Drosophila melanogaster: one gene and its partners. The protein of the gene in region 4 purifies or fractionates together with the protein of the main gene of each other region. This does not show direct contact. Each region holds a gene or a part of one and is shown on either strand. Other genes may lie near its edges. The genes, in order: Nurf-38, E(bx), Nap1 and Su(var)2-HP2.

Evidence for each region.
Region 1: the proteins of Su(var)2-HP2 (region 4) and Nurf-38 purify together in Drosophila melanogaster (affinity purification with western blotting, with the first as the bait; one study listed by BioGRID). This does not show direct contact.
Region 2: the proteins of Su(var)2-HP2 (region 4) and E(bx) purify together in Drosophila melanogaster (affinity purification with western blotting; one study listed by BioGRID). This does not show direct contact.
Region 3: the proteins of Su(var)2-HP2 (region 4) and Nap1 purify together in Drosophila melanogaster (affinity purification with western blotting; one study listed by BioGRID). This does not show direct contact.

Annotation. Positions count from the first base shown.
Region 1 is NT_033778.4:24,556,476-24,564,157, forward strand, and holds Nurf-38 (nucleosome remodeling factor - 38kD), read right to left. Parts: upstream 4,613-7,682; 5' UTR 4,586-4,612; coding exon 4,378-4,585; intron 3,936-4,377; coding exon 3,817-3,935; intron 3,751-3,816; coding exon 3,355-3,750; intron 3,300-3,354; coding exon 3,148-3,299; intron 3,090-3,147; coding exon 2,980-3,089; coding exon of another isoform or gene 2,948-2,979; exon of another isoform or gene 2,677-2,947; intron 2,658-2,676; coding exon 2,626-2,657; 3' UTR 2,492-2,625; downstream 1-2,491. Other genes in the region: CG11414 (uncharacterized protein), read left to right, coding at 5,385-5,663, 5,722-5,867, 5,931-6,494, 6,552-7,682. UniProt on the Drosophila melanogaster protein: Component of NURF (nucleosome remodeling factor), a complex which catalyzes ATP-dependent nucleosome sliding and facilitates transcription of chromatin.
Region 2 is NT_037436.4:242,301-250,410, forward strand, and holds the start of E(bx) (enhancer of bithorax), read right to left. Parts: upstream 4,613-8,110; 5' UTR 4,083-4,612; intron 4,024-4,082; 5' UTR 3,917-4,023; coding exon 3,628-3,916; intron 3,176-3,627; coding exon 1-3,175. Other genes in the region: mthl14 (methuselah-like 14), read left to right, coding at 5,701-5,816, 5,902-6,321, 6,376-6,565, 6,619-7,042, 7,101-7,177, 7,232-7,350, 7,409-7,664. UniProt on the Drosophila melanogaster protein: Histone-binding component of NURF (nucleosome remodeling factor), a complex which catalyzes ATP-dependent nucleosome sliding and facilitates transcription of chromatin.
Region 3 is NT_033778.4:23,903,212-23,910,867, reverse strand, and holds Nap1 (nucleosome assembly protein 1), read left to right. Parts: upstream 1-3,573; 5' UTR 3,574-3,660; intron 3,661-3,705; exon of another isoform or gene 3,706-3,824; intron 3,825-3,856; exon of another isoform or gene 3,857-3,958; intron 3,959-4,145; 5' UTR 4,146-4,167; coding exon 4,168-4,253; exon of another isoform or gene 4,254-4,339; coding exon 4,340-4,808; exon of another isoform or gene 4,809-4,871; coding exon 4,872-5,012; exon of another isoform or gene 5,013-5,049; intron 5,050-5,074; coding exon 5,075-5,263; exon of another isoform or gene 5,264-5,326; coding exon 5,327-5,554; 3' UTR 5,555-5,693; downstream 5,694-7,656. Other genes in the region: CG13562 (uncharacterized protein), read right to left, coding at 5,775-6,205, 6,263-6,438, 6,491-6,563, 6,627-6,833, 6,898-7,039; Lpt (lost PHDs of trr), read right to left, coding at 7,257-7,656.
Region 4 is NT_033778.4:14,612,986-14,620,786, reverse strand, and holds the start of Su(var)2-HP2 (Su(var)2-HP2), read left to right. Parts: upstream 1-2,668; 5' UTR 2,669-2,920; coding exon 2,921-2,969; intron 2,970-3,041; coding exon 3,042-3,359; intron 3,360-3,426; coding exon 3,427-3,741; intron 3,742-3,800; coding exon 3,801-3,944; intron 3,945-4,025; coding exon 4,026-4,277; intron 4,278-4,386; coding exon 4,387-7,801. Other genes in the region: CG12863 (uncharacterized protein), read left to right, coding at 1-169, 225-954; Sec61beta (Sec61 beta subunit), read right to left, coding at 1,466-1,553, 1,617-1,828, 1,885-1,887.

The DNA of each region.
Region 1 (7,682 bases), 9.9 Mb from region 4:
ACAGCACACAACAAACAACACACACCACACACAGCTGAGAATCGGTGCGAATATCGTGGGTTGGAACGAGCATCCGCATCCAGATATAGATCCAGATCCAGATCGAGAAACAGTCCCACTACGACCACACATGCAGAGCCAGAACACAGAAATCTAAAATATTAAAACGCCCAAATTTAATTCGTACTTATTTATTACTGTATGCCTTACAGTTTTTACTATATGTGTTTTTTTAAAAACGAATTATTTTTATTAATTTATTGAGAACGTTATGCGTTTGTTGTAAGTAACATAATTGGGGAGTGGGAGATGGGCGATGATGATGATCAGATGATGATGATGATGATGTGCAGGAGGAGGATCGCAGATCTCGCACTCCCCACATATACATAGAAGCCGAAGTATTTATTTTTAAGTATTCTTAGCTTGTTTTATTATTATTGCGTTATGCGGTTTGTATATAAAATAAACAAAACGAAATCCATTGTTTTTAATCTATGTAATGTAAAATGATAACTTTTATTTTTGTATCTGTATTCTACTGTAAAATCAGCATTTAGAGTTTACATTTTACACGATTTTCCGCAAGGGCAAAACTACAATGATAAAGATAAACCCATACGAACACACACATACACACATACACACATACACACACACTCACACACACACATATATACACCGCAATCGAGACCGAAAGTATTTTGCAAATGTATTACACTTACAATTTTGTGCTATTTTGTAAAGATGAAACCCTGAATTAGTGTAAATCTGTTGGCGCAAAACGGAGATATGTATTTACCTATATAGTATATAGTATATGCATACCTATCTAAAGCTAAAGCCTTACATATATCCGAATACGAGTACCCTACACACATGCTAAATATTAGAGAGAAACGCAAGATCGCAATTTGTGCAAGACACAAACAAAAACCTGGTAAAAACACGCGAAGAACGGAACGACTGCATTACAAATGTGGCAATAAATAATACATAATTAATAAAACCCTGTAAATTAATAAAGGATAATCAATCATTCGCTGGCTATTTGAGAGCATCAAAATTGTGATAAATGAGAATTAGAATGCGAATGCGCGACGCAGGACACCGCCAGAGAAAGAGACCGCCATACAGAAGGCGACAGAGACAGACAGACTGCAGCTGGCGATTTGCGCGCGTTTCTGGCGCGACTAAAAACGCCTGCTTACCGTTTTTGTTTTGGTACGTTATAATTTTCTTTTGTTTTTAATTAATTATTTGATTTTTGACCTTGTGCATTCTTGGCTTTTAACTAGCACTCAAGCTAAAAATTTGACCAACTATGCTTTACTTTTTGTTAAATTCCTCAATAATCCTCGAACTGTTGAGCTCGTATTTTTTGAGCAAACAAACAGAACAAGATTTTGAGAACAATAATTTTTGTGATATATTCAACCATACCTGAATATGGCTTTTGAACTTTGGCTCTTTTTTCTTCTGAGCAAGCTATACACCAAATTAAAAAAAATCAGGTTTCCTAATTCCTCCTCCTCCTTTTGTTTTTGAACACAGGCAAGAATGCTTCGGATCGCCCTTCTTCAACGCCTGCATAGAGGCTCTTCAGCTGCACGAGGAGATGGACAAGTATAACGAATGGCGCGATACCCTGGGTCGCAAGTAAAGTGCGATTCTCTGGGATTTTCTGGCACCGTCACTGGCACGAGCAGCTACTTAATTCTATGAACTATTAACTAAAACTATTATTATTGATAACTGTGGCAGAACACGGCACGAAACTATGGCAACCAGGAAACGATCGACCCGAGGAATGTGTACCACTTGAAGAAACAACTAAGCTAACATCTAGCTACAAGAGAAAGCAGAGCAAAAATGTTGAAAAAAAAATTATGAAGACAATTACTAAACTATTACACGCTACTTATCCGCACTTATATCGGAAAGTCTAAATTGGTCTATATGTTATTTCTATCATCTGTCATGAAACAGTCTCGTGGAGCTTTTAGTTGTAGTGAATTACGTAAATTATGCTTATTTCTTTTAGTTCTTCGCGCAGAAGGAAAGCAAAAAGTTATGCCAAGAATCAAATATGAGAAGAAACAAACAAAAAAAAAACAAGCAAACAAAAAAACGAACGAACAAACGAACAAGAATCAAAATGTCTGATGTATATAACTATTTTTGTCTTCTTTTAAAGATTTCTATACATATTTATAACGCCTAACTGATTTGTACATTTCTTTTATTTCGTAAGCTTAAGTTAATTTGTTACGGCAATAAATTTTACGTTCCACACCTTCCCACACATGCTCTCCTGCAATAGAACGGAAATCACATCTGAGCAACACCACACGGCATAATTCGATTCGATTCTATGTAGTATTGCAATGCCTTACAATTACATAACTTTTAATTAATTTAAACTTGTTTGGATCTAGTCGTAAAATATAAATAAAGATTGTATATTTCAAGAGGAATCGACAGCGAATTTGATTGCGGTGCAAAACTTTATTCAACGTACGATAATATTTCAGTATTAATAATTCACAAGTGCAAGCATTTTCGATTCGATTGGACTACAGATAGATCATGGATCTTGTGATGGAATCAGCCCAGGAGAACATCTCACTTGAGATGAATGAAATGCCAAGTGTCGACTGCAATTACAAAGGACGTAAATTGGTATAAAAAGGGTTTATTTCAGGATAACATTCAGTATAAAGTATATGTACAACGATTAACGAACGCAAGCAAGCCAATTACATAAATTGGGTTTCAGCAGTATTTACAGCATGGAGTAATCTCAATTTAGCTTGCTAACTGGACAATTAAAGTAGCTATTAGTAAGCGTGCAGGTTGTGTTTGTGTAACCAATTTGTTTGCAAGTTACTGGTGGTTAAAGCGTGTGTTGGAGTAGTGTGTTTTTGGTTGGGATCGGGTGAAGCAGCTATAAGTTCGATCTAATATAGTGAACCTTACCTGTATCAGACACCTCCTCGACCTGGCCGCCATCGGGGGCCTCGGCCAGTATCTTCTCGGCCTCCTCCTTGGGAATGACGTGCTCCGAGTTGCGGTTGGTGATGTTGGTGCTGCGAAACGGACGTACTTAGGATTAATTGTAAATGTATAAAATGGCATTTAACCCACGTGGAGATGGACCCGGATGCGGGGCTCTGGTGCACCAAGTTCTGCCAGAACTTGTGGGTCTCGGCAATGATGGTGTTGGCAAAGTCCGCATTCTTGGCATCGCCGTTGAAAGCAAACTGATTCTCAGGCTTGCCATCGGGGATCTTGTAGATCTGCGAAATGCAAAGGGTAAGAGAGGGAATCGTCCGAAAATCGAATTCCACCCACCTTGAACCACTCAACGGTGGCACGAAGCAGACCCGGGAAGTACTGGTCCACATCGGCGATATCATTGACTTTCGAGGCCAACGGATCGTTCACATCGATGGCGATTATCTTCCAGTCGGTTTCGCCCTCGTCAATCAAGGCAATGGTGCCCAGCACCTTGACCTTCAGCACGTCGCCGCGCTTAGCCACTCGGTAGCCAATCTCGATGACATCGATGGGATCGTTGTCACCCTTGCAGCCGGTGGAGGGCTCGATGTGGTCGGGGTTTTCCCAGGTCTGGGGCAGGGCTCCGTAGTTCCAGATGTAGCCCTTGTGCGGGAAGCAGTTGGCCACGAACCGCAGCTTACCCTTCTTGATGTCCTGCTTGATGGGATTCATAGGGGTCTTCAAGCTAATCTAAGGGTCAGACATGCAATTTTTGTATTATTCAGAAGTATGAATCTTAGGGACAGGCAGACCGACCTCCATTTTCGCGTTGGTCCAACGTGGCACCTCCACCACCATGTTGTAGATAGTTTTCTCCTCGTTGGCGTACAGTGGAATGTCGTGCATCGGCGAGATGACATTGCCGCACTTGTTTTCTGTGGAGAATGGCCAGAAATTATTATGCCTGATATATGGGCGACACCTGGACACGCGATTTGATTAATAGTGACCGGGGACCTGTCGGCTAGACAAAGGTCACTAATTTGCGTGCCAGTAAACCGAAATTCAGCCACCAGTTTCGATATCTGCTATTCGGAATATGGGCTAATAAAGGAAAGAGATAAGCCCAAAGGGGCCGAAACTCTTGGTGTTTCCGCCATTTCCGACGCAAGACAAATCGGATCGGCTGATAGTGCTGATAATGCGTCGAGTTAAATAAGCAGAGTCCGGTTTGACCTGTTGCATAACCATTCCGGTACCGATCAACTAATTCTAGGTGCATTAACTGCACCGAGTTTGGGTAACTTGCAAATGCGCAAGCAAAGGGTTAAGCCGGGTCACATTCACATTTGGCCCCCAATGCGCTACTCTACTCACTGAAATACAGGCTGTAGCTCGGCGAATTCTTAGCGCCCTTCTCAACGGTTTCGTACAGAGCCATCTCGTGTGATTTCGTGCGCTTCCGTTCTATCTGAATATATCTGCAATTGCTGGCAAGGGCCGCTGGTGACGTTGGAATCGAGCCGGACAAGCGACCAACCGCACGTGAAGCGTAAAATGAACTCCTTGTAATTTTCGCCAACATTTTCTTCAGCCCTGAGTTGAGTCTATCGATAGGGCGATAGGACCCGATTTTACAGTTAACAGTGCTGCTCAGAAAATGTATAGCTCGATTCCATTTCATCCATTCCAATGGAGAATGAACTTCATTTTTTCATACAATTAGAACTATTATTATAAATATTATTATATGAAAACTATAACATTATAATTATTATTATTAAATATAAAATACAATATTGTAATTATAATTATTATACAAATCTATTTACAGTATAAATAAGACAACTATCAAAACCTTAAAGATTATTTAGTTTTTGTCAAATCGTAAAAACTTAAACAAAATATGCTTTGAATATGTTCATACCTGCAGAAGAAGCACTTAGAAATATTTTAAAAGTTTCATATAAGTGATTGAATTTTTTATAAATTCGAAGTCAATAGGTTTTACTTGTACTGGTTACTGATCGTTGCGAAATTGTCCGAATTCTGGTCATGTTAACTTAACATTAACAAAGCTTCCAACTGGGAACTATCGGTGCTATCGGGGATCCGAGCAGTGTCATCGATAACATTGGCAATCGAGTTTTCTAAATTCTGAGTTTTCTTTTCGTCTGTCGTGTGTGCGTGTTGCCTTGCTTTCGAGTTGGCGTTGCAAAAATTCCCCTTTATTTTGCTGACGAGATATTCCAAAAGAGTAAACAAACCGGGGGATCCAAGAAACCCCAGCTTTTATCCGAAAGCAGTCGTTACACGTACATTTTCAAGTGCCCGTGGCAACAAGTAAATTCCCCCCCTCCATTCACTGCAAAATCTCTAGTGAAATGCAGAACGGAAAACCGAGATCTTCGGCCAGGCCGTCGTTCCACCGCCGTCCCAAAGACGGAGTGGCCAACACCACCACTGATAACGCTGCTGTCAAGCCGGAGGCCTTGGAGAGCTATACGGGCAACGACGACAACGCCTGCGTGGTGTGCTTCAAAAACGTGGAAATTTTCTCCATCGGCGACTGTGATCATCCCGTGTGCTACGAGTGCTCCACTCGGATGAGGGTTCTCTGCCAGCAGAACGAGTGCCCCATCTGCCGCCACGTCCTGTCCAAGGTAAGTCCTGCGCTTGTCTAGAGAACCGAATCTCTATCTAATTCTAAAACACTTGCAGGTTTTGTTCACACTGGACAAGCTGCCCTATCGCGAACTGGAGGCAAATAACCGCTCTGATTTATACAGCAAGAAGTACCGCATCGGCTTCTGCACCGCAGAGATAAGACAGCAATTCTTCAAATTGCTCGACCATCCCTGCCCGAAGTGAGTATTCTGCCCGCACTTGAGTTGCACCATTGAGGCTCACCCTTCTACGCTAAATTGCAGATGCGATGCACCTCCATACCGCACGTTCGAGGGCCTTCGCAACCATGTTCGCAGCGAGCATAAACTTCTGTACTGTGACCTATGCGTCGAGACCCTCAATATCTTCACCTTCGAACGGAGGTGCTACACTCAGGCGGAGCTGCAGCTACACAACACCAAGGGCGATCCGGACAATCGGTCGCATCGCGGTCATCCGTTGTGCGAATACTGCAATAAACGCTATGTGGACCGTGATGAGTTGTTCCGTCATTTGCGCCGCGAGCACTACTTCTGCCACTTTTGCGACGCCGATGGTTGCAATGAGTTCTACAATGACTATGCGGATCTGGCGGAACATTTCCGGGCGGAGCACTTTCTCTGCGAGGAGGGTAAGTGCGCCACCGAGCAGTTTGTCGGCGCATTCCGCAACGAAATCGAGTACAAGGCGCACGTGGCCAACGTGCACGGCAAGTCGCTCAACAAGCAGCAGGCCAAGCAGACGCGCACCTTGCAGGTGGAGATCACTTTGGGGCCTCGTGGCCGTAGTGGGCAGACGGAGCAGGGCATAACCAGCGTGAGAACCAGGTGAGTGAGCGGCCATCCAATTTGAAGAAGGCACTCTTAGAATGGTAAACCTTACAGGAATGACGAGCACAACGACTACCAGAACGATTTGCCTTCGATCACCCAGCGCCATGTGAGCATTGATGCTGGCAACGAGGAACAGTTTCCCACATTGAGAGGCGCTTCCACAGCTCCCAGCGTATCCTTGGTGAGACCGCCACCGCCCTCGATGCGCAATCTTAGTGGAACTTCTGGTCTTGCTCGGACCAAAGAAAACTTCCCGGCTCTGGGAGGAGGAAATGGAGGTGGTGTTACTGGGCCCACTAGCAGCAGCATTGCCGCCCGGGCTGCTCAATCGCAGCACCCCGTGGCAGCTGTCTTTAAGAAACCCACAAGCGCGGCAGGTTCTGGCAGTCGAAGTGGGCCTCCCGGTAACGGAATGCTCCTGCATGTGTCAAATCGATCAGCAGCCGTGCCCAAAAAGGCAGCCACGCCGCAGGTAGACTTTCCTGCATTACCGGGTAAGGGGAACAAGAAGAATCTGCGCAACCTGGAGGAGGATATGCTGCCTAGCGGATCGCCAGTGCCGATGGCGAACATCTCCGCTAAGCATCGGTCTCTAGCCGATGACTACGTGTCAGTGGCTAGCCCGAGCACCTTTCAAAAGCTTCAAATGGTACAAAAGGAGGAGGACGAGGCCAAAGCGCGCCAGGAGGCTTTGAAGAAGAGTGCTCCCAAACTCACTGCGGCGGAATTCCCTAGCCTCGGACCGAGTGCCAGCGCCAGCTCAAGCAGGACGACTGCTCCAAAGCCCAGCAGTGGATCTCCTTCATTGAACTGGTCGAAACCAGCTAATGAGAAGAAGCAGCGTGAGCTGGAGAATCGCAAGGCCAAAGTGGCGCCGGCCCCGGTTCTGCCGAGTCCAACATCGAAACCTGCTCCCAAGGCAAGCAACAACAATGTTCAAGAGCAGCAGGCAAATAAAAAGGATAAAAAGCAGAAGGATAAAAAGAGCAACCAGGAGAATCAGCCTAAGACGGCCAAACCGAAGGAGAGAAATAATAACAACGAACAAAAAACCAATGGGGCTCCGTCTACGCCAATACGTGCTCCTCCCGGCTTAAAACCTGGCGGACCGCTAAAGCCACCACCAGGATTCGTGTCCAACGTGACTGTTAACTCGGTGGCCAAGCTGCCCAACAATCTCAC
Region 2 (8,110 bases), on a different chromosome or scaffold from region 4:
CGCTTTCGCCGCCATCCAGGTGTCATATCGACATCTTCAGCGTTACCAGAGTTTAAGCCCGTAACAATGGAATCTTCGGTACTCTCAATTTCAACATTACTACAAACGTCCATACTCTCAATATAGTCTATTTTATCGGAGTCTTGTGTGTTCGAGTCAGGAGTTGTATTGCATCCGGAACTGGCATTCACCTCTTGTTTAATTTTCGTGTTGGTTACGCACTCCTGGTCAACCAGGATGCATTCGGTCAATAAAGAATCGCTAAAAGGAACGGCGTGCGCTCGTGCATGTTCCCAATCTTGAAGTAAATCCAACGGCGCTTCGGATTCAGCTGGCTTCCCCTCTTCAGAATCATCCACGGCCACCTGAGTGGATTCTCTTTTACCCTCCGTCAGCTTCTGCTCGAGAATAGATGGCTTTTTAACAGCGCCCAAAATAGCGGCAACTGTCTCTTTTGAGCCATTACCGGCAGTATGCGCCTTTCGTAACAACAAAAGAAGTTCTTTTTTGGCCCGAGCTTTTTGAAGACATAAGGGAGAGTAGCAAGTATTTTGGGTTATTTGAGAGACAGCATTTGAATTGGTGTTACACTCCTTTGTATAACAACGAAAAACTTTAGCAAATCGATTAAGCTGACTAAATTGTAAGCGCACGGTTTGAATTTGTTTAGCCAGCGAATTAACAAGTTCCAAGTTTACGTTTGCAGGACCCCCCTTTGCTTGGACTTCAGTAAGGCGAAGTAAACGCTTCTCTAGAAACGTTTGTTTGCTGTTGGCTGTATTATTTTGGGAAGAAACAAGAAGCGGCTTCATATCAGAAGGAATTTTAGAAGCCATCTGCTCCTCGACCTCGGCCAACTTTAAACGGCGATCCAATAAGTCATCTAATCTAGATTTGCGAGCCACTTTTGAATAATAAGTACGGCCTGGAGCATTTAGCGCTTTGCTGACGTCGATGTGCCCTTTGATTTTCTCCGTAACATCTTCTATAACTTTCACATTTTTATATTGGTCCGGTAAATAATGACACACCTGACCATCGACATTGCTTGACTCACATTGTTGCATAAACCGTTGGGTGCGTGGGTCGACTAAAATAATTTCATTTACGTCGTTTTCCTCTCCCATGGTGTAATGTACGTAGACTCTATTGTGTGTTAGAGGTTGGGCTCGACGTGCACGAACACCACAGCGTCGACTGCTTGAGAGCCAAAGCCAGCCCCATTGCCCGTGGACCCGGTATTCTTCTCCTTTTTGCTTCCAGACTTGATGTTTGAGACCCAGGGTATACTTTATGTAGTTAAATGCTAAGCGATTACGTTCTTCCTCATCATCCCGCTCGCGCTTCTCTCGCTTTTCTAGTTTTTTTCGCTCCTCTCGTTCGGCACTAGTTATGCGTTGCAAAGTTGTGTGTCCGAGTTGCTCATGCCAGACGTTGGCAAAAACAACGCTCTTAAGGGACGCTTGAAAAAGTAACAATACTACCGCAAATTCAGAAGGTCGACGGGCGTTCATCACCGCAGCATTCCAAATTTTTTTGTTAACTACCCAGTTAATATTTAAAAAGGAAGCTGCTATATTGGATTCGAAGTTTATCAATGTTTGCCTTAGAGTTGTTATCATATTGTCAGTAGTTCCCATGGTTATACCGATCCATTTAAAGTCAGAAGCCGTCGTTAACGAGAACTTATGGGACAGATGGCGTCGCTTATCTCGCTCCTCGTTTCGTTGCGGCTTGTTGAGTGCAATTGGATTTGTTGAATACTGGTTGACATAGTTCTTAAATCCTTGCTCCATGCCAAGTTTAAAATGCAAAGTACCATTAGTCAGCTGATTGGATTTTTGACGCGTGACCATTTTACATTCTTCTTGTTTTTTTGTTCCCTCTATAGATTGACTCTCAGATTTAGCATCACCATCTTTTTCATCCTCGTCAAGCACCTCTTTCTCCAAAAGTTCATTTTTAGCCTCTTGTTCGATTTCGATAACACTACGCTTCGTGTGTTTGTGTTCATTGGTTAAGGTCTCAGTCAGTTTCATTTGGCGCTCGATTTCGTCTCTCCTTTCTGTAATCTGGCTATGCAGACGAGTTTCCAGTTCTTCGGCGTCCAGTCGACTGAGCAGCAATTTTAACTTACTTGTCGTACTGTAATACCAGCATGTAAAGTTCTCCTGATCCTCGATAAAAATGCGACGTGCAATAAACCAATATTTGCGCCCATGACGATCAACACCGAGGCTATCATGCCGGATTAGCACGCCTTGTTTTTCTTGTGGCAACACGCAGTCCACTACGCCACTTACCTTATGCGAGCGGCAAAGCCCGCACTGCCAATCCTCAGTAGGTACGTCATTCATTGGCGGGTCTACACATTCCAAATGATAGACAGCAGGGCACGTCTCGCAACATAATAAATCACCGAGCCGATGGCACACTCGGCAATGGTCATCATAATGAATAGGTCCCTCCTGCAGCATTACATCTCGTATAGAATTGGAAGTTAAAAATTGATCTGACAGAAACTGGAGCACTTCAAGCCGGTTGTCAATGCCCGTGTAAGGGTATTCAGTGTGGCTTAAAATGTGAAACACGTTGCGATCAAATGTCTTATCGCTTTCTACATAGCTTCGCAAAACTTCCGGCCACGTTATAGAGTCAATCAGGTAAAGACTTATATTAACCGTATCTTTTTGATCCAGCGGGCCAAAATGTGTACCCTGCGCGTCCTCTTCTCGAAGAATCGCTTTAAGCAGCATTATGTGTACCTCCGTCAATAATGCACTTTGCTCCTCACAAGCCAGCGCTGCACACAAGTCTTCAAATCGGAATGGTGAAAGGCGGACCATGTGGCGAAATCGTCGCAGTACTTCATAGATACTTAGCGCGCGCAAAACGTGTGTATTAGCAATGAAAAGATCCTCCGACGAGTCCGGCAAATCAAGCGCTGCATACTGACGACCTTCCTGCAGCCACACAGGTTCTGGGCTAGGAGGACGTGGCGGCCGACCAACTCCATTTTGGTTAAAGCTGCACACGGAAAACTCTGATTCGCTCTCGTTGGCTACTTCTAGGCTCTCGTCGTCGCTGGGAGTAAGCAGCATATCATCCTCATTATCGGATTTATCTTCTTCGGAATCCCCAAAATCTGACCCGTAGTGATACTCCGACTCGTACCCTGAAAAGAGGAACAGTAGCTCTTAGAACCAATATGATTTCACCAACACCTAAGTGCATAAAACCTGACATACTGTCACTGCTATTGTGGACCCAATTTCTACTGAATTGTATTTAAGTAATTGTTATTAAACTCATGCCAACTAGACTGAAAGATTTTTTGTCGTAAGATTTCAAAAATAATCGTTGGTATTAGAGCAGATAGACCTATCGAAACTGACTCGCCCGGTAGTGGTTGTCACGAAAATATTAAATTTGATCTTTTATGAAGCGGAAGCTCTTTAACGCACAGGAAAACTCGTTTGAAGTATGAGTACCATTCAAAACGATCAAAGTTTTCTCCACTGCAATCAATATATGGCACATTATGTTCCCTATTAATCTTCGAACTAGTCAGAGCGAAACTGTAAGTCTTGACTCCCAAGTTAGAGTTTAGGTGCCCCTTTAACCCACCTTTCCTTCCAGAGTAGCTACTGGTGTTCGGTTGCACGGCGGATTTGCGGCCTCGTCCCCTCTTAGCGGCGCTCCCGCGACTGCGATTGGTGTGGTTGTTGTGGCTGCTCCTGCTGCCCTCGTCGCTCTGTGGAGAAATGCCCCTGGATGCCGACGGAGTGCTGGGCTGCGACTTTCCCTCGCTGAGATACTTCGGCTTCTTGAGAAGCTGGTAATTGAAGCGTCCTGATGCGCGTTCGTTGGGCGTCTTTGGCGGACGTCCACGTTTACGGCTGCCGCGACCGCTCATCTTGTTTGTTTTCGCCTTGCGTATTTATCTGGCTGTGTGCAGGGGTGCGTGGGGGTACTCTCCTCAGATATTGTTCCAAGTTAATGCTGCGAGGCTGCACATTAGATCTGAAACGAAAATTAACCCATTAGTACACGGTGCCACAGGAACGCACACCGCATCTCACTCGCACTCAGCTAGCTATGTATTTACGGGGCACATTCAAACACACATTTACTCAACAGCGTATGTGGGGGAAAAATCGATCAGATCGTCAAAAGTTTGTCGTTGGGTGTTCACTTTCTTTGTATTGCGCAAATTTGGAGTTGAAAAAAACCCGCCAAAAGAGCTTGTTTAGTTCAGAATAACGGTTCCGATTAAATACATTAAGTACATGTATTCAAAACACATTCTTGGCTTCTAGTGTTGGACGGCAAACGCACTGGACAGCACCACCAAGTTCGATTGTATGTGTGCGAGTGCGATGAAATGAAGCCAACGCACATTGTCCGCCATTTAAGCAACCGTGAAAATTTTTGCGTCTGTTTAAATGTCACTCTTCTTTCACAATTAACACATGGATTAACTGCGCAAATTACCCAGCATGTTGCGGAATAATTGCACAGGATTTAACACGATATATTCTAATATTTTTAACTATCTTCAGCACACTGCGAAAGAGACTTTTACCTAACATTACAGTTTTGAACATAGCTAAAGACGGTGTACAGTCGGCCAATCACAGCGACTCTTCTATTGCGTGAAGTCAGAAGCGTCCTCTTGCGGTCGGCTTGGAGAACTAATTCTTTATGGTTGCACAAACGATATAGGCAGGGTTGCTTTTGGCATTTACGCTGAACCGCACTGACAGATGTATTTTTATTTTTATCGACGTGTTGAGCGGGCGTTTAAAGAAAACCCGTTAACTTGTAATCAAAATAAACTTACCTTTGCTCACTATCTTAAAAATTAAAACGGTATTTTTGATGCGGTAAAAAAAATGTATTTTTTTGTAAATTTATTTTAGTGTATTACATTCTACCCAATTTCGCATTTTAAATCCTGGTGATCTCATTTCGTAAATTGCCGACCACGAAAAATCCATTAAAAATGTTATCGATAATAAGTTGCCGTTACGATTTTTTGTTTACTGGGAAAGGTTTTTATATTATTATTACTTAAATTTTTTAAAAAATTATTCTAAAAATACTAAATTAAAGTATTTTAATTGTGTTTGTTGAGAAATGTGTTATTGTTAAAGAAATTAGGGTAAACAATTTGCTTTGAAGCCCTGAAAACATCGTTATCTTATCGCCTGCACAAAGTGATTCCATTGCAGAATTAAAACTTCTTTTTCGCTAGTATTACTTTATTAATCAAGCTCAGTGGTTGCATTTTAAATAGCAAGCATAAATTATTTGACATGTACGTAAACAATAATTGCCATAAATAGTTTATTTTTAAAAATACAATAATTGAATAAAATATGATCTAATCAAATAATCAGTGCGCAAAAATTGACATTTAACGCGGTTTTGTATAAGTTGATGAGTGTAATTTTCCGAGTATTGATCAATTCTAAGGAATGTGCTACCACATTCGTCTGACGTCATGTGTTATATTATGATAACGCACTCTACTGGTATCTTACACAGATAAGATAGCCCATATCTTACCAGTTCCCACACCACCTAACTAATGTCAAAATTTGGTTTGTTTACATACTTTCTGTGTAAACGAACTCGGCAATTTTGTTTTATTCATTTTATGCTATATATTTTTTGTAGATTGGTTGAAAAGGCAATATGAATCTAGGCCACTGGAATTTTCTCCTAGCTCTAATCAGTTTACAAACGTTTTTTAACGCCTCCGCACAGATAAGCACTGTAAATAACAGTTCGAAGGGATCAAACAACTCAAAGTAAGAAATACTCAAAATATTTGTTTTCGAAAAATACTAATTTTGGAATCTTTGCATTTTCTATAATATATTTTGCTTTGCTTAGTATTTTCCATGAAGACACATTCAATAGCACTTCGATTGACGTTCTGGACGCCTCAATACATTCAACACTGGTTGTACCTCAAACATATTCGACAGAAGCTGCAACAATATCAGGTGCTAGGTTCGCAACCTCTGTTCCTGTTCAAAGTCCTGTAGACAACCCGTTAGATCCGGCGGACTGTTCTCAACGGGAAAAGTACAGAAAGCAACCAGTTGCAACACCATCGTCTCGTTTAAGAAAATGCTGCCCACATGGAGAAAACTTAAATATATATCGGGAAAATCAAAGCGATTCGATGTGCGACAACGGGCTCTTAAGCTTCGAACCGACTATAATAAGTGCAGTTCTGTTCGATAACTGCATTGAAGATTTGGAGGTTGAGACTACGCTCGACTACGACATTGGAAATCCGTGCAACAGGTATGAAAGCGAATGTTAAATTGAATCAAAGTACAAATTCTTCTGCAAAATTAGTTCTCTTTTGTACGACGACAAAGACGATGTTTTCTTTGTTCTGCAAGACGGTTCGTTATTAATCATCGACAAATTTGGCAACGAATCATACACTGTGAAGGAACATTATTGCTTGGATATTGATAAGTCAGGACACTTGTTTGCCTTTACATGTGTAACCCAAGTGGAAGAACAAATTGCCTTCGCAAAAGTAAGTCAATGTAACATTATTTTCTATTTACCAACGGATGAATATTATTTCAGGTCGTTTTTGTTGCCGTTCTTATGCTTATATCTATGCCCTGCCTGCTATTAGTTAGTTATTTGCACATGACACTTCGTTTATTGCGTAACTTGCATGGTCTCTCGCTAAGTTTGATGTCTCTGTGCTTGGCGTCTGGATACTTTGTGCACTCCGTTGTGCACATCTATGGGATCCCGAACCAAGGGTTCATTGGCTACGTCATACAGTTTTGTATTTTAAGTTACTTCTTCTGGTACTTGTGCATATGCTTCAATGTTCTTTTGAATGTGTGGTACAAGTTGCCTTGCTGCATTCAATGCTCAAAGAGTTGGGCCACCTTTAATTTTGCGTGTTACGCTGTTTTTGCCTTTTCCGGACCGGCCACAATAGTTGCACTAACTGTTCAAAAAGGACTCCCAGGAATGCCGTCTTACTTTCTGCAAGGCAAGTTATTGACTTTAATAGTTAAAAGTATAAGTAGTAACATATGTATTATTTAAAGGCCTAACTGAATCCATCCGAGATTCCCAACGTTACTTTATTCCTCCAGTGTCTACTATACTTTTTCTAAGTTTTTTGGTAAGCACTTCTTTTCGTACCTGTTTTTTGTTTTATGCAATTGTACATTCTTAGCTTAACATCATATCGTTCTTCGGATTTCAACGTATAAGCGGCTACGCCAAGGCTGAAAAAAACATTCAGGAGCGAAAATGCTTGTTTGACCAACAAAAATATGAAGATGTTAAAAAAGAGTGAGTGCAGAATTATTGCAGTCCAAACACATGCATTTATTTTAATTTTTGTCGTTAGCGCTAAATGTGTCAGCTTACTTGGAATAATAATGGTCGTTAGCTGGCTGCTCGAAATAATAACATTTTACTCGGGATCGAATTCAAATTACCTGATACTCTGTGACATGGTGAATGGACTCCAGGGAGTTTGGGTACTGCTCATTTTTCTAGTCGTGCGCAGGCGTCGCACAATAATATTAAGGTGGTGGTATGATCGTGGTTCCCACGAAATTGAAGGCACAGAGCTGCAAGCTCTTAGTAATAGTCCCACATAGATATATAGAATTATAATACAATTACATTACATACGTTCAAATCTGCGATCGCCGTTAATATTACATTATTTTTTAATTATATTAAATTCTGGTTTATTTGACCTGTAAAGAATGATGTGCTTATAAGCAAATCAAATTGATGAAAAGAGAAAAACATTCGAAAATTGCTGAACAGCTGAACCTGATATCCTTTAATAGAATATATGTTGTTGCGGGCCACATTACCGAACCATTTCCCAAACATATTTGTGAAAATTTAACTTTGTGTAAATTGTGGTTTATTTAAACTTATATAAATACTATTAAATATTAAATGTTTGCTGTCACTTATATGGTCATATAAAGATAAATAGTCATTTTATTGTAAGAATGTTTTACCATCTTTGCTAATACTCTAAAAGGAAATGTGTAATTAGGCGTGCGTGTTACCAAAATGAGCCATTTCT
Region 3 (7,656 bases), 9.3 Mb from region 4:
GGTCTCCGGGAGGGAATTTGGACACACTTTCTGGTTGAACGCACTTGTATTCATGTATTTGATTATTGTTAGAATTTCGTCGATTGTTTAAAGTATGTTATTTGTTAAAGGTGCTCAAAAAGAACTGGTTTCTCATGTTTTCCCGTTTTTCGTATTTTTTTTTAGGTTTTTTGTATTATGCGAAAGAAGACTCCTTCTAAAGTTATTTTAGGCGAGCGAAAACGCTCAGATGTATGCTACTTTTCGTTCGGATTAATAGAAAAACTAAGAAAACTGTTGGTATTCGGCCGAATAAAAATTATGTTGCCCAGGACCCTGAGCGTTCAATTGAGATGAAATCGAAAGCTTTTGTCTACACACATTTTTAATACACACACACTCTCGCAGGAGAGCGAAATCGAGAGCGATGCTGAGCTGAGCTAAGCTGAGCTGTGCTGGGAGAATGGAGAGCGCCTCGTTGCAGGTGTACATTTCCATTCGGTGGCCCACAGCTCAGTGGGGCCACTGAGCCCACTGCCTTGGCCAGGACCTGCCCGCCAGCCAGCCAGCCACTCTCACCCAGCATCCGACGTTCGCTGGAAGGGATTGCGAGAAAGCTGCGCCGCCCTCAATCTCTCACTCTCTCTCTCTCTCTCTTTCTCTCTCTCTATCTGGGAGCTTTCGTCAGGTACTACGAGCTTTGGCTTACAGCAGCCGCGAAATGTGTCACCAGGACATCCTGGATTCGGACTGGGGCAACTGGGGCAGCACAGGATAGGATTGCAGGGCCGTAAGCTCTATCTGGGCATACAGTAGTCACTCGATGGGAGGGGAAATGCGTGTGCCTGGGGGTGAGCAGGCGAAATGTGCTGATGGGACGAAACTCAGCAAGGACCAGATGAAATTGCACACAATCTCTTCAGTGTTAATGGTTCTTGTGTATGTATACATCTTATCTAAGTATGTATAAGTATATATTAAGAAACGAGCTCTTATAGTTAATAGTAAAACTAAAGTAATAATAGTGGCACAAATAAAAATGAAAACATCCTTACCATCGTACGACCCATAGTTCTCACCTAGGGTTTCGTCGTGGATGTCCCCCAGTAGCTTGCCGCTCGCAGACTCATCCTGGTTGTAGTCCAACGCGGTGTCCTCGTCAGCCTTTGTAACTTGAAATCTATCTGGCATATTTGTGGATGTAAGGCACTCTGAAATGGGAATGACATTAGTATCGTCGTTGCTAACATGGAGACCCTGCCGAGGGCACGGCTAGGAATTAGCGATCAAAAGCATTCCCGACGATCGCTAGTCCAGTGCGGCTGGTTCCGAATTCACATAAGCTCCCAAGATAAGGATAACATTTCTGTTCCGAATTGCAAAGCCCACCAAATAACTAAGACGGTTAGTCCGCCCCCATCATTACTGCCGCACCTCAACTGGTGTGATAACCCGTGATCGAAGGTATCTAGTGAGTCGCACTATTTGCATGAGATTAGTAGTCCGCTATCACATGACCATCGAACTTGGTGGGTGTCTGGCCGAAATGGGCCACTGCACCTGCGATGTATGCTCCACTTTCGGGCAGAGATAAAGGCTGTTTCCGATCTGTGGCGCTAATCGCTCCGCACTCGCCGCGAGCTGTGAGCGGCGAGCTTAAGATAACGACCATTTAGTGCCATTTAGTATGCCTCAGCGGTGTTATGTCACCGGCTTGGTTACATAAGGCACGACTTGGGACACACAAGATGCGCTGCGATGTGCCAGACGTCGAGTGGGAACGGTTTTGGCGGTTTCCTGACCCTGCCACCGTGATTCCAGCCCCCACCCGCAGCGACGAATTGATAGGCGAGCATGTGTGTGGCGCTCTCAGCGAGATCGGGCTCATCCCGAACCCAGACGAGGCAGCTGGCCCAGGTGGAGGCCATTACACGCGCGCTGATAAGTGCACAAATCTGTTCCCATCGATTGGGCCGTCGCAGCCGCGTACACACAACAGGGGGCAGATAGATTAGTGCAGATACGGGGCTATGTACGTGGAACACAAAGAGGTGCATGCAGATACGTACATCCAAACACGCACATACGCACGCATGTACATATGTACATACGCAGAGGTGGTGGTGGTGGCGGAACAGGATGGACTGGACGGTGTTATCTAACCCGAGGATGTGCCCGCCCAGGCCAGCCACTGGACATCCGGACACTCGTGCGGGAATGCTTTTGGGGGACAGCGGATTCACTCGATTCGATTTACTTGGGCAAGCGCCTGGAATTCGCCTTCACCGACGATCCGATCCGATCCAATGTGATGCGATCCGATGCACTTGTGCTGGGCAGAGCCAACGGAAACGTCCTTTGTAGAATTGTGTTTACTTTTGGGGGCTTCGACTCCTGCTGCCCGATGTGGGTGAACTTTTCAATTGTACGAATAAAATAAAACTATCATATTAAAGGCGCATGAGTAATACAAAATGATTTTCCACCGTATATACTTTGGAATCGCGAGTGGGGGAAAGCGTAGTATTAATGAAAAGTCCAATTGAAATCAAATGTAACGCATAGGGGACGCCGAGTGGCGATTGTATTTTGGAAAACACGTCCCCCAAGATATGTTTATTGCAATTAGCACCCATGATACCATCTTATGGATGATTCCGCCTTGGCGTCCGTGAACGCATAAAATTACTGATTCCGCGCTAAGTTTACAAGGCAGTGAAAAGAGTCTAATTGGCTATATGGGCTATGGGCATCTGATGTGCGCCGATGTGGGTGTACGTATGTAAATACATATTATATTCATATGCATATATACATATATATATTGGGTCCCTAAAAATATTTTTAATTTGCAGAACGGCGCATTTTGGTATAATTTCCAAATTTGCACAGTACATTCATGCAACGTATTTTTTTTTTTTTTTTTTTTTTTTTGCTAAAGAAGTCAATAAACCCGTTAATGGGAACGGATTAAACGTAATAACATTGATCCTGTGTTTTTATTTGGCAAAAATCCTTAAATTGCTTAGAATTCAGTAGTTACTAAGTTAGCCGATAGTTGGGCGAGCATATCCAAATCTCTTGCTTGACGTCTTATAAGAAATCCGATTTGTTAGGAGCGTTTCAGAATGTTTATATTTTTCCAACTTAGGCTTTTATTTTAAAGCGAAGTTATTTTAAATATAGTTATAACTTAAGCCACAGCTGTTTTATTTGGTTTGTTTTAGCCGATAGTATCGATAGGCAATTCAGGATCACAAGCATCTCGATTCTTAAAATTTACCGCTATATTTCGAAAATAAAGTTCAGTTTGTTAAAAAATATTAAATTTAATAAATTAGTTAGCATACAACGATTAAACTAATTACTGATCTGGTGCAATAAAGGTGAGGCTTTGCTTGTTGTTTAACAAATAAATGAATTTTAAATGTGCAGGTTAACTAGCTATGCGAGTACAACTTGTAAATAGAACATTCAAATTATTATCTAAAAATTAAAAAAAAAAATTAAAAATATTGTTGCACTGGGAGGGTTTGCGTCTCGGCTGGGAAGGTAGTGTGACCACAGCCTGTCATGAAATAGCACGTTTCGAAAGAAAATGGACCCCTCACCGCCAAAGCGCAGCATTCCTTTTTAAACATTTTCGTGGCGGTGCTCATCGTGCGTCTGTTCTAACCGAAGGTAAGTGGCGAATTTCTGACTGATTGACAGCAATTCGGGGGCCAACTCACCGGCCAGGCACTGGGAGCTCGCGACAGTGGTCAAAGTTGCCGATAGCCCTCGAATTTCGTCTACATTCGAGCTTATTTCGGTCCACCACGTGTTTTGCAAAAGCGCGTTGTATGGTAATTCGATTGAATCGCACATGCACACACACACACACACACGCAGGCAGATTCGCCGAATGGCGTATTAGTTTTTACAACGCCCTTCTATCGGTGCGAATATGCTATATAGTCTGTGAAATTCAGCTGCTCGAGTAAATATGCGGCTCCCTTTTCGCAAGTGCACCCAGTCTGGGATGGCAGCGCAGTGGGAATTTTCTGTATAAGAATGTGCACATATGCATATGCATGTGCACATGTGTACATCAGTCTGTACATCACTTGCGAAAACGTTTCGGGGTGCAAACAATTGCCAACAGACACTAATCGAGAATCTTGCAGTGAGATCAGCATTTATTGAACAATGGACGCCCCAGCCGAAGGACACGTTGACCCCGAGTCCTGCAACGAAATCGAGGACGAGAAGTCCGGCTCGGACTGCCAGTCGATGTGAGTAGAAAGAGGGGGTGGCAACATTTTGGCAAGCGAAAGCAAGCAAAAAATCAGGGGAATGACACACACAACCCACTTTTCAGGCCCGCCTACATGAACTCGGTCATGCGGCGACAGTATCTGCAGCAAATGGTCAAGATGCTGCCGGCTCCAGTGCAGAATCGGATTGTGTTCCTGAAAAACCTACAGCTGCAGCACCTGAATATCGAGGCCCAGTTCTTTGAGGACGTCTACAAGCTGGAGCAGAAGTACCAGGTGCAGTACCAGCCGTTGTTCGATAAGCGCAGGGAGATCATCGAGGGCAAGGTGGACCCCGCCGAGGAGAAGCCCCAGTGGAAGGAACCGGAGTCGTCGACCGACAACGAGGCCGATGCCGAGCACTTCCGCGAGGCCCTGAGCAGTTTGAAAAGTATTCCCAAGGATGCCAAGGGCATTCCCGGCTTCTGGCTGACGGTGTTCCGCAACACGGCCATAATGTCTGAGATGGTGCAGCCGCACGACGAGCCCGCCATCCGCAAGCTAATCGATATTTCCATCAAGTACGACAACGGGGTGAGTTTGCTGGCCAATAGTTCTAGTAGTCCTGCCCGTCTAAACCGCTTCTTTATTCATTAGCATTCGTACACCTTGGAGTTTCACTTCGACAAGAACGAGTACTTCTCCAACTCAGTTCTCACAAAGCAGTACGTTTTGAAGTCCACCGTGGATCCCAACGATCCGTTCGCATTTGAAGGCCCAGAGATCTACAAGTGCACGGTGAGCTATCTGCACTCTCGAGGGCAACAAGGGATTTCTAATCGAAACAAAACCAATTACAGGGGTGCACCATTAACTGGGAGAAGAAGATGAACCTTACTGTGAAGACCATCCGCAAGAAGCAGAAGCACAAGGAGCGCGGCGCAGTGCGCACCATTGTGAAGCAGGTTCCGACGGATTCCTTCTTCAATTTCTTCAGCCCACCAGAGGTCCCGAGCGACCAGGAGGAAGTCGACGACGACTCCCAGCAGGTAAGCTCACCCAACAACAGTTTCCGCAAGGCCACTTGCTCATCCGTGTTCGCTTCCTCGCAGATCCTGGCCACCGACTTCGAAATTGGTCACTTCTTGCGCGCCAGAATTATTCCAAAAGCAGTGCTTTACTACACTGGCGACATCGTCGACGATGAGGACGATGAGGACGAAGAGGAGTATGACGAGAACGAGGAGGATGAGTACGACGACGACGATGCACCGCCACCAAAGGGCCCCAAATCAGCCGGTATCAAGAAGCAGTCGCCCAACGACTGCCCGAATCAGTAGGTTGATGTGGCTGGATTACACATGTGTAATGTATATACATAATTCAAATTTGATTTGAAATATATTTTTGGTGAATAAAAATAAAAACAACAATTACAAACGATATGAGCTGAACTCGAATAAACCTACATGATATTAGAATATGGTTGACTTTGATTTAAAAAACATAAGCCTCCTGAGGTTGCTATTCTTGAACCAAGTGTTTTCTCCCAATACTCAGTCAAGCACCGCCTTTGGTCAGCAGCTTTAGCTGTTTCTTGGACAAGTTGTAGGGGTAGTGCAGGCTAGTGGGCACGAAGATCTGCCCCGTGACCTGGCTGTCGAAGTTCTCCTCGTAGCCCACCGTGTAGCCATCTGGTATCTTGGCCGTCTTTTGCCAGGTGAAGCACTCCGGCGGTGTGTAGTTCACGGCGTAGAAGGGATAGTCGAACGTGTTGATGTATATGTCGACGCAGAGACCATGGCTGCCCAGGTGAAGCTGACTGGCCACCGAGGGCTGCTTGAGGCCGCAGCTGCCGAGCATTATGTTGCGGTGGCAGGAGTAGACGAAGGTGCCCTTGTCGCGGCTCGAGTGGAAGCACTGCACATGCTTGCCGGCCTTGGAGTGGTCGACTGCAATGGGATCGAACCCGGGTCCGGCCATATCGCACGCTGCAGTTCAATACAATAATTACTGGGTGTGGCTAAGATAACGCTCAAGATACCGACTGTCTATGCTCTCGATAATGTGGTGTGGCCGTAGGGATCTTCCCACCGCCGAAGCCAGTTGTCCGCCGAAGCTGAAGCCAAACATATAGCCTCGTTTTGGATCGAATCCCTGCCTGAACAGTGTTAGGATAATGGACGATATGGCGCCGGTGAGGGTGTCAAAGTTTGTGTACAGCCTTTAAAAGTCGGATAATGAGAATTTGGGGTCAGACTACTACTACTACCCACCGCATGTACGAGGAACTGGCGACCACACTGTAGTCTATGCATATCACGCATCCGCCGCGGTAGTAACTGAGTCCTAAAATGCATATTTCGAGTAGCTTTCAACTTTGGCATTGAAAAAAATGCAAAAAATGCTCACTTTCAATAAGCGACAGCGCCCACTCGTCCGAACAACTTTGGATCCATCCATGCAGAACTATGGCAAACTTGTCCGTGGGCGAGCAACCCGAGCCACTGAGATCGTAGGCATCGTCGTAGGCCGAAGTCTCCATGGTTTTGGTGTTGTTCTTGTAGAACATCACCTTCATGGTCTTCTGGGCATCATATTTGATTCTCTGCTGGTGGGCTTCATAAACAAAAACATCGACATGATACGCTCGTCCAGCAGAAACTTTCTCCCACATCCATACCCAAAGTGTCATTTTGCGTTGCCTTTGCTGCTTGCTTTTGCCTCAAAATGGCATATTTAAGATTCAGTTTCGAGTGCGTTCCATCAATTAAGAGAACACAGCAAACAATTAGGATTGAGTGGAAACTACTGAACAACTGCATTATCTGGTCATCTGGATGGTTAGCTGAAAATAAAAAGTAACAACAGTGCAAACCGCGTAGAAAACCAGTTTTCTGTGCCGAAGAGATACAAATTCGATATGGTATACGGCAATCGATGAAGAATGGGGTTTGGCGCCAAAAGAGGCTGCATTCAAAAGTGGCGCTTTCTATTAAATATTGCATTTTCTTTATTTCAATTTAAACGATTCCGCTTCTCCTATGTAGAGCACTTTTCATTGTCATCAAAATCTAGGGAGTTGAGAACATTGACGTCCAGTTCTGGGTCCGCGTACTCCAGGATATTGAAGTCGTCTCCCATTTCGGAAGTGAGCGACTTGAGTAGGTCGTCGTCGTCGCCCTCGCCGAGTCCTCCCAGAAGGTCGCTGAATCCGACATTCTCCAACTCCACGGCGGAAGAGGTTGCCTCCTGCGGCTCGCCCAACTTCACATCCTGCTCCAAGGACCTGCCTTCAGATGGCTGAGATTTTCCACTTATGCTCAGCATGGGATTGTTCTGCGTAATGGGTGTGTTCTGCATCATTCCCAGCCGCATTACATCGTTGCCCAAGAACAAGTCCGAGTTGGCCCCCATGAGCATCGGCTCCGTGCTGTTCTTC
Region 4 (7,801 bases):
CACCGCGTCTACACTTCCATCTGCGACACAAATTGCAAAGTTTTCTGTTGGATTTGGATGAGAGATTTGCCGAATATCTGGGTCCTGAAGAGTTCTGTCTGTACAATATGTGCAATAATCACTTCTTTTACGATCGAACGCCCTTTGAACAATTCCTGGCAGGTACCAGGTAATATATTTATTATATGATGGTTACCGCAATTATAAAATGTCTCATTTGCCAGTTCCGATCGACTGGTGATTGTAACAGATCCTCCATTTGGCTGTCGCACTGAACTGATTTCGCACACCCTGCGCAGCCTTAGAAAACTGCATAATCAAATCAACCGATTGCCATCCACTCCACTGTCCATATTCTGGATATATCCCTATTATTCAGCTAACCACATCAGGCAGGAAATGCCTGAGCTTGAAATGTGTGAATACAGGATCAATTACACTAATCACCTTAGATATACGAATGTGGGCAAGCAGAGTCGGTTTTGTGGATCACCCGTGAGGCTGTTCACCAACGTGCCACTGCGACTTCTTCAATTGCCCCCTGAAGAGGGCTATAAGTACTGCCAAAAATGCGATTGTTACACTGCCAAGGAGAACCTGCACTGCAACCGCTGCGGGAAGTGCCCCTCGGTGAATGGCCAAACGTACAAGCACTGCGAGTCCTGCGATGCCTGTGTGAAACCCAACTATGTGCATTGCTCCGACTGTAGAAGGTGCACGCAGAAGGAGGGACACAACTGCTCCTTCTATCAGACCAAACAACACTGCTGGATGTGCGGCCAGAAAGGCCATATCGAAACCAAGTGCCCAAACTTCCGCAAGAGAAAGACGAACTATACCAAAGGCTGCCTTTTGTGCGGCAAACGAAATCACAGGGAAAAGCGATGCTCGTACCGCTCAAAATACTTCAGGGAACAGTGTTTTATGAACGAAACAACAATTCAGTGTCTTTAAGATACATACAAATATATATGTACAAAGATAAATACAAATTGCATTTCTTTATATACTGAGGGGCACTTTAGACTGTATGCATTTATGCAGTTTATAAGAACAACACTGACAAAACCTTCACTACCATCCATAAACAACAGGGCACACATTTGTTTAATACAAAATTTATTTGTTCTTAACACTTTTCGTTGAATGTCTTACAAGTTCTTGAATTGCAACGGCTGCGCGCGGAATTTCTGATGCACATGACCACGATAAATTGTGGAATGAATTCTCAGCCCGCCGGATGAACGAACGGATTGGGGGAAAACGATTAAATTTTGAAAATATGCATTACGTTTAAACAGGTTTTTAACTTAAGCTTAGGTATAATTAATTTCATGTGGAAACACACCAATGCCTCAACAAGCGGAATGGATCTCTTCTTATCTCGCCGCAAAAGAAATGATGACGTCGACATTGTTCACGCTCGTTGAGGTGAAAGTATTTTATTGGCTACGAAATGCATGGCTTAAGAACGATTGTATTTGCCCCAAATGTGCAGCATGAAGACGGAAGCGATGAAGAGCAGCGACATGACCAGCACGGGTACGGGACCACTGCAGCAAAAGTCTCATTAGCACTGGGCCTTTAATATAAATATAGCCGAGTTATTCACTTACACTTTGATACCGGGCGAGTCGTCCGTGTAGAAACGCCACATGCCACCAGTTCCGGCTCCGCCGGGTGCACGGCTCCGGGCCGCTGTGGTGCTGGTGGTGGTCTTGCGCTGCTTCAGGGTGCTGCCGCCTCCGGATCCGGCGCTACGTGGCGCCGACAATTTGCTGGGGGAGCGCGATCCGCTGCCCACGGACGTTGAACTGGCTGGAGCGGGCTGGCAAATGTGTTTTAATTAGTTGCCGCACTCAATTGCCATCTAGTTTAACTCACCATTTTGGGCTATCTGTTCCTCTGGACCGACTGACCTGGAAAATATGAACGGGCGAAGTGGAATCTGAACGTGAATCTGAATCTGACGTGCTCGGCTTCGTGTCGCTTCGTCTTTTTTCGTTCCACGTCACTTTGGTGGTGGCACCGCTGCCGATAGGTCGTGACGCTGAGGTGACAGCTATCGTGCACTTAGACAGCTGGAGATGACAGGCTAAGGCAACTCAACTATCGGCTGCTTTGGCTCTAAAATGAACTAGTAAAAAAAAAACGAAGAAATAATATATTCAAGTTATGAATTTAATAGATAACAATAATAGATAAAATATTAATTCTACAAAATGAATTGTTTAAATCAATTTGAATGAATCCTATTAATATAATTGGCTATTATTAAAACTCCGATAATAAATGCTATTATTCTTGATTTCCCTTGATTTAATTATATAATACATACTTAATAACTATATAATTATATAGAATAAAAACTTAATCACGCATTTAATAGATCATATAGATATAGAATATATAGAAAATCAATGAAATCGATTTTGATAGCGATAATGTGCAACCTTGCATGTAAGTTATTTTTAGATTTTAGCTGGGCAAGCGCAATTTTCTTGGCGCGCACCAAACAATTTGTAAATAATATTTTTGCTTAACTGGTATTGGTTCGACTGCGAATCACTAAAAATTATTAAGTGACTTAAGCACCGTGTTTTAAACATTGTTAATCGGAACGGCCACACCGAAGCGCGGGCTCACTAAACGCTTTTGTCATTTTTGCACATCTGTACAACGTTCACGTTAATTGCAGCGGCATCATCTTTGCTGGATTTCAAAGGAATATTTTGCGGTGAAAAGAACGAAAAAGTGCTTGCATTTGTGCGCTAATGGGTATATGAGGTCCTTCTGCTAAAGGAATGCCAAGTCATACAAACTTTTCGCGATTCGCCTTAATGGAAATAGATAAGACGCGGCGCAGTTGAAAGATTGCAAATTGATCCACCGATCGACCGACGCACATGAAAAGTGAAGTATGGAGGACATTGAATATTTAGACGAGTACAAAGACTTGGTGCTGCCAGGTGCGTGATTTCAGCTTCCAATGCTATAAATACTTCTAATGTGATTTGTCTGTCTACTTTGCGCGCGCACAGGGATTAAATCGAGTGCTCCGACAGCATCTTCTGCCGGCGTTCCGCGGCAGCGGCGCATTTCATCAGACTCGAGCAACTCGTCGTCGATTGATGCGGACATTTTCCAAAAGCTCTTCCATGGCAAGTACCTCGACGACGAACTGCTTAAGGAGGGCTCTGGCTCGAAGTCGCAGGACAGGCGTCGACGCCCCCCATCTCCCTCCTCCAGCGACGAGTCCAACGATGCCTTGGAAGCCCTCTTCTGCGGGAAGAGCAGCCAGTCAAAGCTGAGCAAGAGGCGCGAACGGTATGAGTCGTTCGATTCGGTGGACGACCTAGGTGGGCATTTCGCAATGGTTTCAATGACGCATTTTATCAATAACATTTACTTTATGCCTACACTTAGGAGAAGCCCTAATGCGTCCATCGCACAGGCTGACCGTACCCAAGCCCAGTACCTCTCAGGCAGGTTCCAAAAAGTCACAAGATGCTGCCCCACACAGAAGCATTAGCAATAGCAGCAGCAGCAACATTGCCATGTCATCTGGGCAAACTTATGCATGTCCAAAAAACAAGAAAACCAATTCTGTGGCCAACAAGACAGCAGTATCTGCAAATGGTGATAAATGGGCTTCCGGCAAAAACAAGACCGTTACCATTGTAAAGCCCCAAAAAACAGATCTAAGGCCTTCGCGGCTTGAACCCAAAACAGATCCATTAAGTAAGTTCGATATTGTGCTACATATCTGGCTGTGCATAACCACTTCGTATTTTCCATAGATTTGGGTGACTTATACGGGGACTCTGACAGCGATTCGTCCTATGAGTATGAATCGGACTTTTACGGCGATCAAGACTCCGATGAAGAGGATGAGCCGGTGATCGACATTTCAACGGACACAAGCAGGACCACATCGGTGGCGGGTAAGTCAGCGTTATTAACTAGTTGATACTGCCAACCCTCTGATAATATTCATAATATGTAAACACACATAAACCGTGTAGACACTGTGACACCTGTTGTTTCCGACGACGAGGGCCAGGAGCCGCAGAGTGAGCTGAATCAGCGTCATGCGAATGATCAGGAGTCTTTTTTGAGCAGCACCTACGAACGCCTGCAGTCGTATTTGAGTAATCTCAGTTCCGCCGAGCCGCCGCCAATCTATAAGAAACAGAATAGTGCGAGAAAATCCCGCTCCAACGAAAAGAAACCCTCTTCTTCCCAACAGGTTAAGCATGCTAATGAGCAATCAGCGGGTAAGTGTGCACCAACGTCCATTGGGGCGTCCATTTCTGAGCGCCCTCGTGAACCCTTACCTCTGCTACACCCTTACATTTGTAACTTTTTCTGCTTTTTGTTTCGCAGCCAGTGACAAAGAGGCTAATAAAAAGGAGCGGGATTTGGAGCCACCGGAGGCGAGCAGCAGTGCGAAATCCTCGGCCAGCAAGGCTAGCGGTAGTCGCAAGCTGTATGACGTAGCTAATAATGCTACGCTTGAGGCTGTGGAGCGCATGAGTCTCGACCTGGCCGAGCAAATCATGGAGATCGATGTGGAGCGATCTTACGAGTTCGAAAAGCGGTCTGCCTCAAAGTCGCGTAGCTTATCCAGATCTAAGATTCCAGCAGATTCTAGCACCTCGCAATTGGGTCACGTGCGAAAGCTAACCTATTCGAGCGAAAGACTGGATCAACCGGAACCTTTGGGCACCCAGTTGCGTCGGTCGAAGAGCGAGTCCTTACCAAAGCGAGGTCGCCCTCGTGGCCAAAAGCAGCGTAAGAACCGTGGAGCAACCATGGAGGAAAAAAGTGCTAATTGCCGGGATGGGGAAGGAGAGCCAGTCAAAAGAAAACGCGGAAGGCCTCGCAAAATTATTCCAAAGGAGGAGGCTAAAACAGCAGAGACTGAAAATACAATTGAAAGCTTGAACACAAATGTTCCTCTCTCAATAGATACGAGCAAAGAAAATCCGGAAACGGAGACGGTTAATTTAGAAGTGCCAATAAAACAGGATGAACTAGTTAGCGATTTGGACAATGCCAAGGAGCTCACAGGATCTACCAATTTACCCCAGGATGATATTGAAATGGCGTCAAATCACCAAGAAACGGATCTTAAATGTGCTCCGGACAGGGTTGCGCTGGATAAGTCTGAGTCCACGCCAAAGGTCGAAGAAGAACAGCTTTGTAAAGTGGACACACCTAGTGATACTGCACTGGACGAAAGCAAAGTATCCGAAAGTGCAAAAAATCATATTGAATTGGAAGATAAGGATAAGGATAAGGAGGAAACTCAGAAGGAATCTCCCAATGGCAATTCGAAGGAAACCAATGAAAACTCGGTTATAGTTACTAATGAAGTTGAATTACCAGCTAAAAAGGCTGAAGCCAAGGCAGAAGCGGGAAATATTGTTGAGGAAAGCGACTCCCAACTTGCTGAGGATTTTAAATTGGCTGAAGAGATCTTAGCCGCTGAGGTTGGTAAGGGAGTTGAAGCCAACGAGGTATCAGTGACATCTGTGCAGGGAGAACAAAATCCAGTCATTGAAATTGTTAAAGAGTTAGAGCAAGAAACCATTTCGGAAGTCGTGCCCGCTCAGAATGATCAATCTTCAGTCGAAGACCAAACTTTAGCTGATAAAGAAAATCCAGTGGAAAAACCGTCTCCAGTTAAGGCACCATCCTCTAGTAAGGATGAACCACCTGCAGAAGAAAACTTGCCTGCTCCTGACCAGGATCCAATTGAACAACAGAAAACACCTGTAGCAAAAAATCAACAGCATGACAAAGAACACAATGAAGCTCCCAAAGCCGAATCTTTGTCTGTTTCTGATATTCCGTCTAGCTCAGTCACTCCATCCAAGAAACGAAATCATTCCTCCCCAGCTAATACCCCCAAGAAATCGAAAGAAATTGAAGCTTTGCAAAGTTCGGTGCCGCGAAGAGCGCTTAGGTCTGATAAAGCAACTCCTCAAAACCTAAGGGAAAGTCGGTCGAAGCGGACACTGAAAACCGAGCTCACACTACTTATGGATGATACAATGAGACGAAGCAGTCCGAGACTAGGAAGGTCGCCAGCGGAAAGTCATTCCTCACACGAACGCTCTCCGATGGAAAAGAAAGTGACAGTCTCCAAGTTGGCCAAAGATTTAATAACAATAGATAAGGAAAAAGAGATAGAGCTGAAGTCGCTACCTGATGCGTCTGAAACTAAGGATGTAAAGATAACCAAAACCACTACAGCATCAGATACTTCCATACTGACGGATGAAAATCCTAGCTCTAGTAAGACTGAAATGAAGAAGTTGAAGGGTAAACCGTTGAAGGCAAAAAAGATGAGTAGGACCAGTGAGACAGAAGTTAAGAAGGCAATAGCAGATTCCAATGAAGACATACCTTCTATTTTTTCCATAAAATGTGTTGAAGAACATTTAACTTCTAGTGAATCGGAACAGAAAGACGAAAAAGAGGAGTTATTATGTCCAAAACCGCAAATAGATTGTACCAATACGGATTTAGAACAATCCACGGCTATTGAAACTGATACGGAACAAGTTGAGGAAAAACGATCAAATCGCAGAAAATCGCGCAGGATTCGAAATGAAAAATTCAAAACTGAAACGGACACACTTTCCGACCATTTGGATGCAAAGAAAGCGGAGAATGCATCTCTGGAAATTAGCATGCGACCTAAATGTACATTGGAGACTCAGCAAAGTGATCCTGTCACTGCTAAGAATAAGCGAAACTCCGGCAGATTAAGTCGTAAAGAAAAATCTGTTATTAATGCGGCCAAATCCGAAAAGGACAAAAGCCCATCCGCCATATCTCAGTCCACTGAAAGAAAACAACTTTTAAATGAAAACCCTTCTAAGAAGGATAAAAAAACAGAGCAATCTGGTAACAAAAAAGAAGCGGTAGTGGGTCCACTTGACAAGACGGAAACGTCAAGTAGCACAAATATAATCGATAAAAAAAGTAATGAAAGTTTTGACAGTGCAATGCAACCGAGTGACAGGCTAAATCAAAAGGAGTCAGCTTTTACGAAATTGTCATCAATATCCAGTCCCAAAAAAATCATGAAAGATCAGGATAAGGATTTGGATGCATTAAGCAAAGGCGGAGACTCGAATCCAACTATAAGAGATACCGGCGAGGACAGTAGACAGACTGATAAGAAACACCAAGAGAACGATACTAAACATGAGGAAGAGGATAGTTCAAAGTTAAAGGCTAATATAGATGAAACAAAATCTTCTTCAGAAAAGGACGCGGAGCCTATTTCAAAAGACTCTTCACAGGATTCAGCCAAACCCAGACTCTCGAAACCAAAGTCCAGAAACAAGCGTAAGAAAAACGAAAAGAAACCTAATGATAGTATTGCTGAATCTGATATAGAAGGTGGTTTTCAAGTTAACACAGAAACCGTTCAAGCTACATGTTCTACACCTTCAGAGTCCAATAAAAAGGACATGGTTAAATCTGATGAAACAAACGAGGAACCAAACTTATCCGAAACAGAAATAGGAAGAATAAGGAAACGCGGGCAGGCTTTTCACATTGAGAATCCCAAAGATGATTTACATATTACTCCGCAAAATGAAAACCAGAGCATTGCCGGTGTTAATTTTGAGAAACAGGTGCCATTGCCAGAAAGTGTTGAATCCGATACTCCGATTATGAAAATACCAACGAAAACTTACCTAATGTGTACAAAAAACAAAACATCGTTATTGTCTGCCTCAGAAGATCCTGATATTGTCCTCGAGCCACAGAAGTTGAT